3 linked regions of the Daphnia pulex genome follow. The protein of the gene in region 2 purifies or fractionates together with the protein of the main gene of each other region. This does not show direct contact. Links are inferred from orthologs where the notes say so. Each region holds a gene or a part of one and is shown on either strand. Other genes may lie near its edges.

Region 1 (4,080 bases), on a different chromosome or scaffold from region 2:
ATTTTTTCAGTTTTAATATAATCAAGTTGGTTTACAATTAAAATTTAATTTAATTCAATAAATGAATCAAATCAATATAAATTATACAAATAAAACGGAAAACATAAAATTCGAAGCCAATTCGAATTCTCTCTATAATTCCGAGCTTATGTTTAAGTAAGTACATTTGAAATTCTGATATAAAGAGCCCGGAGCTAAATAAATAATTGTGCAATCATGTCGTGCATATATTTTTCAAAGGAAGACAATGATCAAGATGATGAACTGTACAAACCGGTTATCGATATGTGTGTGTTTAATTCTTTTGCGATGCGCGCTTTTCTCTTTTCTCTTCCTTTAGGGGTGAATGATTAAGCGGTTATTTTTATTTTGGTTACATCGCGAAAGGTCAAATTCATGTTTTTTCCAGCTATAATGCCCGATTGCAGGGCTGTAATTATCTCTAGCGGGACTATAAGTACCAGCCGGTCGACTCCTTCCTTCTTCAGTCGAAAGCAGAAGAAGGTTTTTCCCATTTGCTCCATTCAACTCCATAAACTTCAACCGGAAAATGTCGGCTACGTTCGTCGTTATGCTCTGCCTCGTCGCTTTCTCCTCTGCTGCTCCTCGTAAGTGATTTTTTAAATCTAAAATTTTAGTTTTATGTAACATGGGCTTTTTCAAGCAATGCTCTTTTACGATTTATGAATATATTTGAATAGAATTGGCGGTCCCAGTACCGGTATTTGCTCAACGACCATTGGATCCGGTTTGTCTCTTGCCACCACTCAACCCCAAAGTGCGTTGCAATCAATTTTCCATCAAGTGGTACTACGACTCTGCTACCAGGGATTGTGAAAAGATTTTCTACACTGGCTGTGGAGGATCTGAAAATCTATTCGCCAGCGAAGACCTTTGCGAATTGCGCTGTGATCAAGATAATTTCGACAGCTACGAGAGCGTTGAGGACTTCCAGCAATATCCCTCGTTGCAGAAATTCAGATATTTCGTTCTTGGCAAGTAATCAATTGATGTAAAATGCTTTTCTCTAGCACAACGTTGTTATTCTTTTATTTTAAAAAGTAATTTAAAGAATTGTTCTTACATTGATCACATGGATTGTCTTTCAATGTAATCTATATTATTCAGTTAAAATTAATTTTGAATACACTTCTTATTTACTCACACAATACGAGTTGTTTCGTGTTTTAAAGAAAATATTTTTTTACCGACTTTTAAATAAACCGGCGAAATTAAAATATATCCGGCAACGCCACCTTGCGTCTCATTTTCGATTTGGCCGGCAGATGTCGAAATTGAGTTTTTCCGACAAGTGCGACAACAGTGAACGAAAGTCGACTGCCGGCTGCAAAGGCCAACGAATCTTTACATTGCAGTCGTTTTCTAATTCATAATTAATTTGTCGATTCGTATAATAACACAATGTACGATCAAGACGAAGGTAACATCAAAATATGATGATATTCATACATTTTTTTCTCATTCTAACGTGTCTTTTACTTAAGATCCGATCGAGGATGAAGATGGCGAGGAAATCTCTTCAGAGCTTTGGCAAGAAGCCTGTTGGATTGTCATCAACGCATATTTCGATGAAAAAGGTCTTGTGCGACAACAGCTTGATTCGTTTGATGAATTTATTCAGATGTCTGTACAAAGAATTGTTGAAGATTCACCTGCCATTGACCTTCAGGCAGAAGCCCAGCATTCTTCGGGGGAAGTAGAAAACCCTCCGAGATATGTCCTAAAATTTGAGCAGATTTACCTCTCGAAACCTACACATTGGGAGAAAGATGGTGCTCCGACAGCCATGATGCCTAATGAAGCAAGACTAAGAAATCTCACCTACTCTGCCCCGTTGTATGTTGATATCACGAAAACTGTGCACAAAGAAGGGGAAGAGCAGGTCGAGACACAGCATCAGAAAACATTCATTGGCAAAATTCCTATCATGTTGAGATCCACTTATTGCCTGCTGAATGGAATGAATGATCGTGATTTGTGTGAATTGAATGAATGCCCTCTCGATCCTGGTGGATATTTTATCATCAACGGCTCAGAAAAAGTATTGATTGCTCAAGAGAAGATGGCCACAAATACAGTGTATGTCTTCAGCATGAAGGACGGCAAATTCGCTTACAAGACAGAAATTCGTTCCTGCTTGGAACACTCGTCACGTCCAACCTCCACCTTGTACGTCAACATGTTGGCACGTGGTGGTCAGGGCATCAAGAAATCCGCCATCGGCCAGCGTATCATTGCCATTCTGCCCTACATTAAGCAAGAAATTCCCATTATGATTGTGTTCCGAGCCTTAGGTTTCGTGGCCGATCGAGATATTCTCGAGCACATCATCTACGACTTTGAAGACCCCGAAATGATGGAAATGGTGAAACCTTCGCTGGACGAAGCCTTCGTCATCCAGGAGCAGAATGTTGCCTTGAATTTCATCGGTGCTCGCGGTGCCAGGCCTGGTGTCACCAAAGAGAAGCGTATCAAGTACGCCCGTGAGATTCTCCAAAAGGAAATGTTGCCTCACGTTGGTGTGTCCGACTTTTGCGAGACGAAGAAAGCCTATTTCCTCGGCTACATGGTCCATCGCTTGCTGCTGGCTGCCTTGGGACGCCGTGAGCTGGACGATCGTGATCACTACGGCAACAAACGTCTGGATCTCGCCGGACCGTTGATGGCTTTCCTCTTCCGAGCCCTTTTCAAAACTCTCATGAAAGAAGTCCGAATGTACGCACAGAAATTCATCGATCGAGGAAAAGATTTCAATTTGGAACTGGCCATTAAGACCCGCATCATCACCGACGGACTCCGTTACTCGTTGGCCACAGGAAATTGGGGAGACCAGAAAAAAGCCCATCAGGCCCGCGCTGGTGTCTCTCAGGTGTTGAACCGATTGACTTTCGCTTCGACCTTGTCACATTTGCGTCGCCTCAATTCGCCCATTGGTCGTGACGGTAAACTGGCCAAACCTCGTCAGCTCCAGTAAGTCATTGATTTCAAATTATTTTCATCGGCTTTTGTTTATTACATAACATTTTTTAAAACTATTTTAGCAACACGCTGTGGGGAATGGTTTGTCCAGCCGAAACGCCCGAAGGAGCTGCTGTCGGTCTCGTCAAGAATTTGGCTTTGATGGCCTACATTTCAGTCGGTTCCCAACCGTCGCCCATCCTCGAGTTTTTGGAAGAGTGGTCCATGGAGAACTTGGAAGAAATCGCTCCGTCTGCCATTGCGGATGCCACCAAGATTTTCGTCAACGGTTGCTGGGTGGGTATCCATCGCGACCCGGAGCAGTTGATGGCCACCCTGCGCAAACTGCGTCGTCAGATGGACATTATCGTGTCTGAAGTATCGATGGTGCGCGACATCCAGGACCGTGAAATTCGAATTTACACGGACGCCGGCCGTATTTGTCGTCCATTGTTGATCGTCGAGAACTGCAAATTGTTGCTGAAGAAGCGCCACGTTGACATGCTCAAACAGCGCGAGTACATCAATTTCAGCTGGCAGGAACTGGTGGCCACTGGTGTAGTCGAGTACATTGACACTTTGGAGGAGGAGACGGCCATGATTGCCATGTCGCCCGAGGACTTGCGCCAGGTAAATTTTCTGCATTGATTTTTTCTTTCCCTACCCCACCCCATCCAGCCGTTGAATGTTTTGCTTTGTTTATCCAGGGTAAAGACGCCTACTGTACGACGTACACGCATTGCGAGATTCATCCGGCCATGATTTTGGGAGTTTGCGCCTCGATTATTCCGTTTCCCGATCACAACCAGTCGCCTCGTAACACTTACCAAAGCGCCATGGGTAAACAAGCCATGGGAGTGTACATTACTAACTTCCACGTCCGGATGGACACTCTGGCCCACGTCCTGCAGTACCCTCAGAAACCTTTGGTCACGACACGCTCCATGGAGTACCTGCGCTTCAGAGAGTTGCCCGCCGGCATCAATTCGATTGTTGCCATTCTCAGCTACACCGGATACAACCAGGAGGATTCCGTCATCATAAACGCTTCCGCCGTCGAACGAGGATTCTTCCGCTCCGTCTTTTTCCGATCCTACAAAG
Region 2 (3,191 bases):
TCTACAAATCTAATTGGGTTATCTTTTTTCAGCTCAACACATTGCAACAACTACAGCATATTGCCAGTTATAGCTTCATTCAAAGTGCCATAAATTCGGGGCGAGTACACCTTCACGCGTATGTATCATGTATCAAACGTTTACTCGTAAGTGTTTAATGTTGAAATTTATGATACTAGGTTATGGTTCGACATCTATACCGGAGACATCTACGTCTTTAGCCGCAAGCAAAAACGGTTTGTGGAGATAAGCGAAGAGACATCCGATTATTTGCTCGATGAAATACGCGAATACTTTGTGTGACCTTAACCGACGTGCCTCGGGTTATTATGCTGAAGAATATATGGAAATCTAGGTATTTTTATAGAGATGACGCACATCTCCTGAATTTATATGGGGAGTTCGATTCTAAAGCTATTTTGTAAATAGTGAGAAGTTAACTATAAAATAAATTGTTGCATAACTTTATAATGGAAAAGAATTTGAACAATTCGAAAAAGGAATTGCACAAATATTTATCTATTTTACGAACCTTTGAATGAGGAAGGTTTTCAAAAAGAAATGCGAAAGTAGAATAGTATACAGGATGGTTACCAACAATATTAAGCAATCGCGCAGGATACAGAGTGTAAATTGTTAGCTCACGTGTTTACTGAGAATCGGAAGATGAACTGCTACTCGAGTCCGTAGACATAACGTCGACATCTTCATTCTCTTTCTTGGGATTTTTGTGATCCATTCCACCACTCACACCCAAGTGTGAAACTGACAAACAGGGCATTTGCAGGTCATTTTGAGATAACCAACTATAAGTGCCTGCTTGAGAATTCGGAACTGAAGACCCCTGCTGCAAAGAATGATTAGGACGATGCAAAAGTTCTGGAAAACTCATGTGTCCATTGACATTCATTTCACCAAGACGGCCCAAAAATCCTAGCCGCATTTCAATATCTGAAAACCACCACAAAACAACATGAAACTACTGGACAGCAATTTAAAAAAAAATTTCTACCCGTGGGATATGGTCTGCGTAAATCTCCTTGCTGCCAATTCAAAGGAGCACAAACAGCGTTGGAAGCCGATATTCTGTGAGCAAATTTTATCAACTCTTCGGAATTTACAGGTCTGTTATTCGCCCGTGTGATTGATTGCAACTTTTGCTTAGCTTGAAAGATTGCAGTAGCCTGAAAAAGAGTAAGTTTATGAAATACTAAAACCAACAAAATAATTAAAAATAGCTTACTAATAGCTGCTCTGCCTCCTTAAGCTGCTTTTGAAGATTTCGAATCTCAACATCATGCCTTTCAACTTCTGTCTCTAAGGCAACTACTTTTTGTTGTAATACACCTTGTTCTTCAGCCAACTTAATAAAAGAAAGAATTAGCATTGAAAAAAATTATGAAAAACAAATAATTTTACCTTAAGTGTTGCCTTAAGATCAGTGTCTTTTTGAAGAACCAATTCAACAAGTTGAGAGTGTTCAGTACTCATAGGTTTCTGCTGCTTCTGGGCTATTAAGTTGTCCAAAAGTTCCCTAATAAATTAAAAAGATTAAGTTTAGTACAGTGACAATTATATTTTGGAAGATTAAAATTCAATAATCAAATTCAAAACAGTGTATGATACAAACGAGTGTGACAAAGTGTTCTGAATTTCAGGTAAACAATGGTATGATTACCTAATAAGATAAATAAATATATCATGCTAATGAACAATAGATAGATCTGAGGCTTTAACTTTCATTAAAAAAATTTTGAAGGAAGAACAATTGCACTACGTGATCAAAATAGTCGACGAACAAAGGCAGCCAAATCAAGAAAAACTTACTTTGCGATGATTTCGATATCGTCGATGCAAGTAAGCAATACTTCTCTGGTACTTTTTTGAGAAGTCATGTCTAGTTATTTTTATTCCTTTTTATAGAAATAGTTATAAAAACAGGTAAGTGAAACTTTCCAATCAAAATTAGTTTTTCTTGAATGCGGCTCGGCTACGGCTGCAACAACAACTAGAGAAGTGAGGTTGCCATATCTAGATTTAACCTGACCACGTATTTTTTTAAATTTCCTTATCCTTTATTTATGGATTCATTCGGAGTCGAATCACCGCTCTACAACGTGATTTCGTTAAAAGAAACTAAAAAATATAATAGTAATGAGATATGTTTGAAGTGTATAATAATGCAACACTGGCGACGATTTATGAATCGAATTTCGTAAACATAAACAGACAGCAGGAATCCGCTGTTCCGCTCTTGATCGTCTGACCCGCCCAAAGTTTTCCGAGCAATTTCTCAAAAACAAACTCCGGAAAGAGTGAAAAGACATTCATTTGTTTGCTTGGGTGAGTATATAGTCCAGCAATTCGACTTTAGAATCTCCAGTTATGAGGACTTTAAAACACATTTTGTGTTACAGATTCTTGGTTCAGTTCCTGTCTACAAGAATGTCGAATGACAAGTCTGTCAAAGTTAAGGTTGGAGAAGAAGAACGAGTATCGCAAAGTTTATGCGGTTGTTCGGTCGGAAAATTTTGGAAATGGAAGTACAGTGTCCATAAACAATGAGCAGAAAAAACAACTAGGTATAGAAGGAGACTATCATGCCGGGCATATCATTGCCAAAATGCTTGGAGGATCGGGATCGGACGTAAATAATCTCGTCCCCATGCACAAAAATTTCAACAACAGTGCCTACAAATCTTTCGAATTTGAAGTCCGCAAGATGATTGAGGATTCTGAAAAATTTTACCCCGGAAAACAAGTAGAAGCTCGTATCACTGTTTCCTTATTTTACAATCAAGGTTCCAATAAACCATATCGAATCAAGTATGATGTTGCCATGTACGCTAACGGCGTAGAAAAGCCGAGTTACGTTGGAGATTTCAAACTGAATGAAAATGGACGACACTAATTTAAATCGAGGAAATTTTTGCTTTGACGCTTTTTGCAGAGCTATAACTCTGGCTTTTTGTAACCAATAAACATTTTTCAATGTTGAATGCGTAATCAGGCGCCGCGCAATGTATTTTTTTTACAAGAAAGCAGATTTTAGTACGTACAAGAGTGCTTTTACAGCCATCTGGCAACCGTTTTCGTTACTAACCTACCTAGTGTCTTCTGCAGTGGTTGATTTGTTGACGTTTATTGCTCGAAAATTCTCCAACCCACTAACATTTACTCGTTTAGTAATC
Region 3 (3,129 bases), on a different chromosome or scaffold from region 2:
ACTGTGATAAATGTGCGGCCAATTCCCCTTTTTCCACATTTCAAGGTGCTACGTTTGCGGTTTGTATGAACTGGAACTCCGACCAATGGTCTTCTGTTGTAAAACGGAAACAGAAAACAGTCGCCAAACGAAGACAATGGCAATTTAGTGTGCGGCTAAAATCAACAAATGAACCGTAATAACAGCTGGTGCAGACATCCGCAAAGACAAGCTGGCCCATCAGGACATTGTGTGGATATGTTCTTGTCAACTAAAACAAGTTTCTCAAAACGAAAAAAAAAATTGCCATTCATACCGTCCGGCTCGTTTCGTTCTCATGATCATCGAATCGTGAAACAGGCAATAACACGATCACCACGTCCGCTCATCTTTCCACAACATCTGCAAAATTCCTTGCGGATGATTAAACACTCTCAGGAAAAAATTTTCATATACTAATAAAATACCTAGTAAACTTATCCCCAATTGAATTCATGCAAATAATCATTTTTTTCTTTCTTTTTATCAGACCGTGTTTCACCTAAATGTATTATTCCATGAATATATAATATATATACACACTGGGAGTGTGCTGGCAATTTACCTTGGTGCGCAAAAAGAGGGGGACAGATTTTCTTATTTAAAACAAAAAGAGTTTTTTTTTCTTCATTCAATTCTAATTCTTTGTGTATCACAAGTTGGAAACAACATGGACTCGTGGGGTTTTCACTTTTTCAGAAGACGTTCCATATCTTTATTTTGACGCTGGATTCTCCAGTCAGCCTTGTCGGCACCAGTCTGCAACCGATCGATCAACGTGTTCTGATCTTCCAGTTCAGTCGACAATCCCTGGGCGAGACCTTTCAGACGGGACAGGGACAAACTCATGTCACCCAGATCTTGCTCTAGCTGCTCGTCGACATTGGAAAGAGGTTTGTGACTAAAATCATTTTCAAGTCCTTTAATCCTCAATGCTGGGTGCTGTTGCTGTGATGGTGAGTCTCGGTCAATCGGTGATGATGTTTGCTCAAGTACCTTGGAAAGATTGCTACTACTACTACTGGAACTAGGCTTTAACAAAGACCCTTCAGAAGAGTTTTTGAGTGGCTCTGAAGGCTTAGAAAAGTAGTTCTTCATACTGCTAAACACACTCTAAAAATCAATGAAATCTGTGTTAAGGAAAAAACAACCAACCAATGCTATAAAATATAGATAGACTACCTTGATATTCTGTATGTGTCTCTCTGAAGTCCTCAATGAATTATTCATTTCATCCAGTCGGCTCCCAGTTCTCTCTAACTGTTCCCTCTGCCTTACCAAGTCCTGGTTGGGTATTTTCAAGGGGAAAATGAATCAAGTTTTAAGTGGTTTTCTAATGTAAGCTTATGTGCAAACCTCAGCGGTGGAGATTCCAATCTGCTCAGTCTCATACAACATTCCTTTAGCTCGCCCTGAAGCCTGCAAAGTACGTTCTTCTATTTTCTGTTTCTCCATAAGAAGTTGTCGTCTACGTTCATCGGCGCTCTGATTTTCTCCTCCGTCCAGAGGTTGGAAACTGTTATTTCCGCCCGACAAACTATTGGCTAATTTTCCTCCAAAGTTATTGAACCTATTGGGTGCCCTTTGTAGAAATTCTTCGTCGTCCACGTCGTCTTCATCGTCAAAAAATGGATTTGAACCTTTAGACTTGACGTAACGCCCACTGGATCCAGCCATAGTTTTTTCGACACTAATACACTTTTCCTTGTATGTATTATTTGTTGCTCACTCACTTTCGCATGCCCTCCGAAGCTGTCAAGGCCTTTAAAGAGACTGCCGAGAGTCGTAACCAAGGTTTGATGTCTTCCCTCTAGCGACGACAAAAGTAATGATTTAATAAAATTGTAAGTAACATAAATCAAATCAATTAAAACATATTATTATTTTTAAGTTCATTTAAAAATTTCAAAAAATAATTCTCTATTATTATTCATTCATATGAATCAGTAATATTTAATAAAATTAGCTAATTTAAGGAATGTTGCGAGGCTTCACCAGGCTGAGGGAACAGCCCACCTCTTTCTCGTCATAGCAGCCCTTCTTACTTACTTCACTTGTTTTCCCGTGATCAAAATATCTACGTGTGAAGTCACGCAACTGTCCTTAGAACGTGTCAGTATCATGAGTGCCTTATTTCCTGATAAAATAATTGCGAAATATTTGAAATAATCAATGGCCACTCGTCACGAGCCATTATCACTTCAAGTGATAACATCTCCGTTCCTTCGCAACGTCGAAACAGCCCATGATGGCAGTGCAACAACTGTGGAAAGACGTACATTTCGAAAAAGTCTTGAAAGACTTGAACGAATCAATATGATTGATTTAGAACCCTTTAGTTCTGAATCAGTCTACCGTCAGCCTTCATGTGAACAGGGTCCTAGTGGAGATAGGAAGCTAGCAAAACGACAAAACAGGCTCAGCAGAGAGATCCTTGGAGTTGATGATGCAGTGTTATCAGCTCCTGACATTGCCCAGTTCCAATCTCAGGAAAGACAGCTTCTTACAAAGAACCAATCAATGAATGGTTCCCTTAATCAAACCGATGTTGATGATGATGTCAGCAGTGTTATTTATGGTGGATCAATAGCATCAACAGTCCCCGACAGATATGGTTTCTTTGGAGGATCTCAGTTCAGTCATGACACTGAAATGTAAGTTTTATTTGTTTCCCTTGAATCCCCTATTAGTTTAACACTATTGTATTTGCTTATTTTGAATTCAATTTAGAAACCCAGCAATGATTGCCATTTTTCGCAAAAGAGAGCTGAAGTGGTTAAACATGTTAGATGATTGGGAAAAGTATATGACATACAAATACAAAAAGGTTTGGCAATATCTTTTATTTTTCTTGTCTTTCATGTTTCTATTAACACCCAATTATTTGTAATCAACAGGTAAGAGACAGGTGTAGGAAAGGAATACCCAGTTCTATCCGTCCCAGAGCGTGGCAATATTTGTGCGGCGGTGGTGTTCTAATGGAAAAGAATAAAGGCGTGTTCGACGATCTACTCGCTCAGCCCGGAGATCCCAAATGGCTGGATGACATCCGAAAAGATTTACATCGACAATTCCCCATGCACGAGATGTTTGCCGATTCCAATGGACCTG

What was found. The genes of interacting proteins can lie anywhere in the genome.
Region 1: the proteins of mediator of RNA polymerase II transcription subunit 4-like (region 2) and DNA-directed RNA polymerase II subunit RPB2 purify together in Homo sapiens (affinity purification with mass spectrometry; 3 studies listed by BioGRID and IntAct, with this or other methods). This does not show direct contact. The link is inferred for Daphnia pulex from reciprocal best matches to the Homo sapiens genes MED4 and POLR2B.
Region 3: the proteins of mediator of RNA polymerase II transcription subunit 4-like (region 2) and synaptosomal-associated protein 29-like purify together in Homo sapiens (affinity purification with mass spectrometry; 3 studies listed by BioGRID and IntAct, with this or other methods). This does not show direct contact. The link is inferred for Daphnia pulex from reciprocal best matches to the Homo sapiens genes MED4 and SNAP29.

What each region holds. Positions count from the first base shown.
Region 1 is NC_060022.1:1,081,139-1,085,218, forward strand, and holds the start of DNA-directed RNA polymerase II subunit RPB2, read left to right. Parts: upstream 1-1,271; 5' UTR 1,272-1,422; coding exon 1,423-1,441; intron 1,442-1,505; coding exon 1,506-2,991; intron 2,992-3,062; coding exon 3,063-3,609; intron 3,610-3,686; coding exon 3,687-4,080. Other genes in the region: kunitz-type protease inhibitor 1-like, read left to right, coding at 551-608, 702-1,003. UniProt on the Homo sapiens protein: Catalytic core component of RNA polymerase II (Pol II), a DNA-dependent RNA polymerase which synthesizes mRNA precursors and many functional non-coding RNAs using the four ribonucleoside triphosphates as substrates.
Region 2 is NC_060026.1:12,376,687-12,379,877, forward strand, and holds mediator of RNA polymerase II transcription subunit 4-like, read right to left. Parts: upstream 2,020-3,191; 5' UTR 1,896-2,019; coding exon 1,828-1,895; intron 1,535-1,827; coding exon 1,420-1,534; intron 1,364-1,419; coding exon 1,244-1,363; intron 1,185-1,243; coding exon 1,013-1,184; intron 952-1,012; coding exon 650-951; 3' UTR 504-649; downstream 1-503. Other genes in the region: beta carbonic anhydrase 1-like, read left to right, coding at 33-118, 180-303. UniProt on the Homo sapiens protein: Component of the Mediator complex, a coactivator involved in the regulated transcription of nearly all RNA polymerase II-dependent genes.
Region 3 is NC_060025.1:1,294,152-1,297,280, reverse strand, and holds synaptosomal-associated protein 29-like, read right to left. Parts: upstream 1,815-3,129; 5' UTR 1,696-1,814; coding exon 1,375-1,695; exon of another isoform or gene 1,303-1,374; coding exon 1,201-1,302; exon of another isoform or gene 1,132-1,200; coding exon 706-1,131; 3' UTR 510-705; downstream 1-509. Other genes in the region: TBC1 domain family member 10A-like, read left to right, coding at 2,191-2,672, 2,749-2,845, 2,916-3,129. UniProt on the Homo sapiens protein: SNAREs, soluble N-ethylmaleimide-sensitive factor-attachment protein receptors, are essential proteins for fusion of cellular membranes.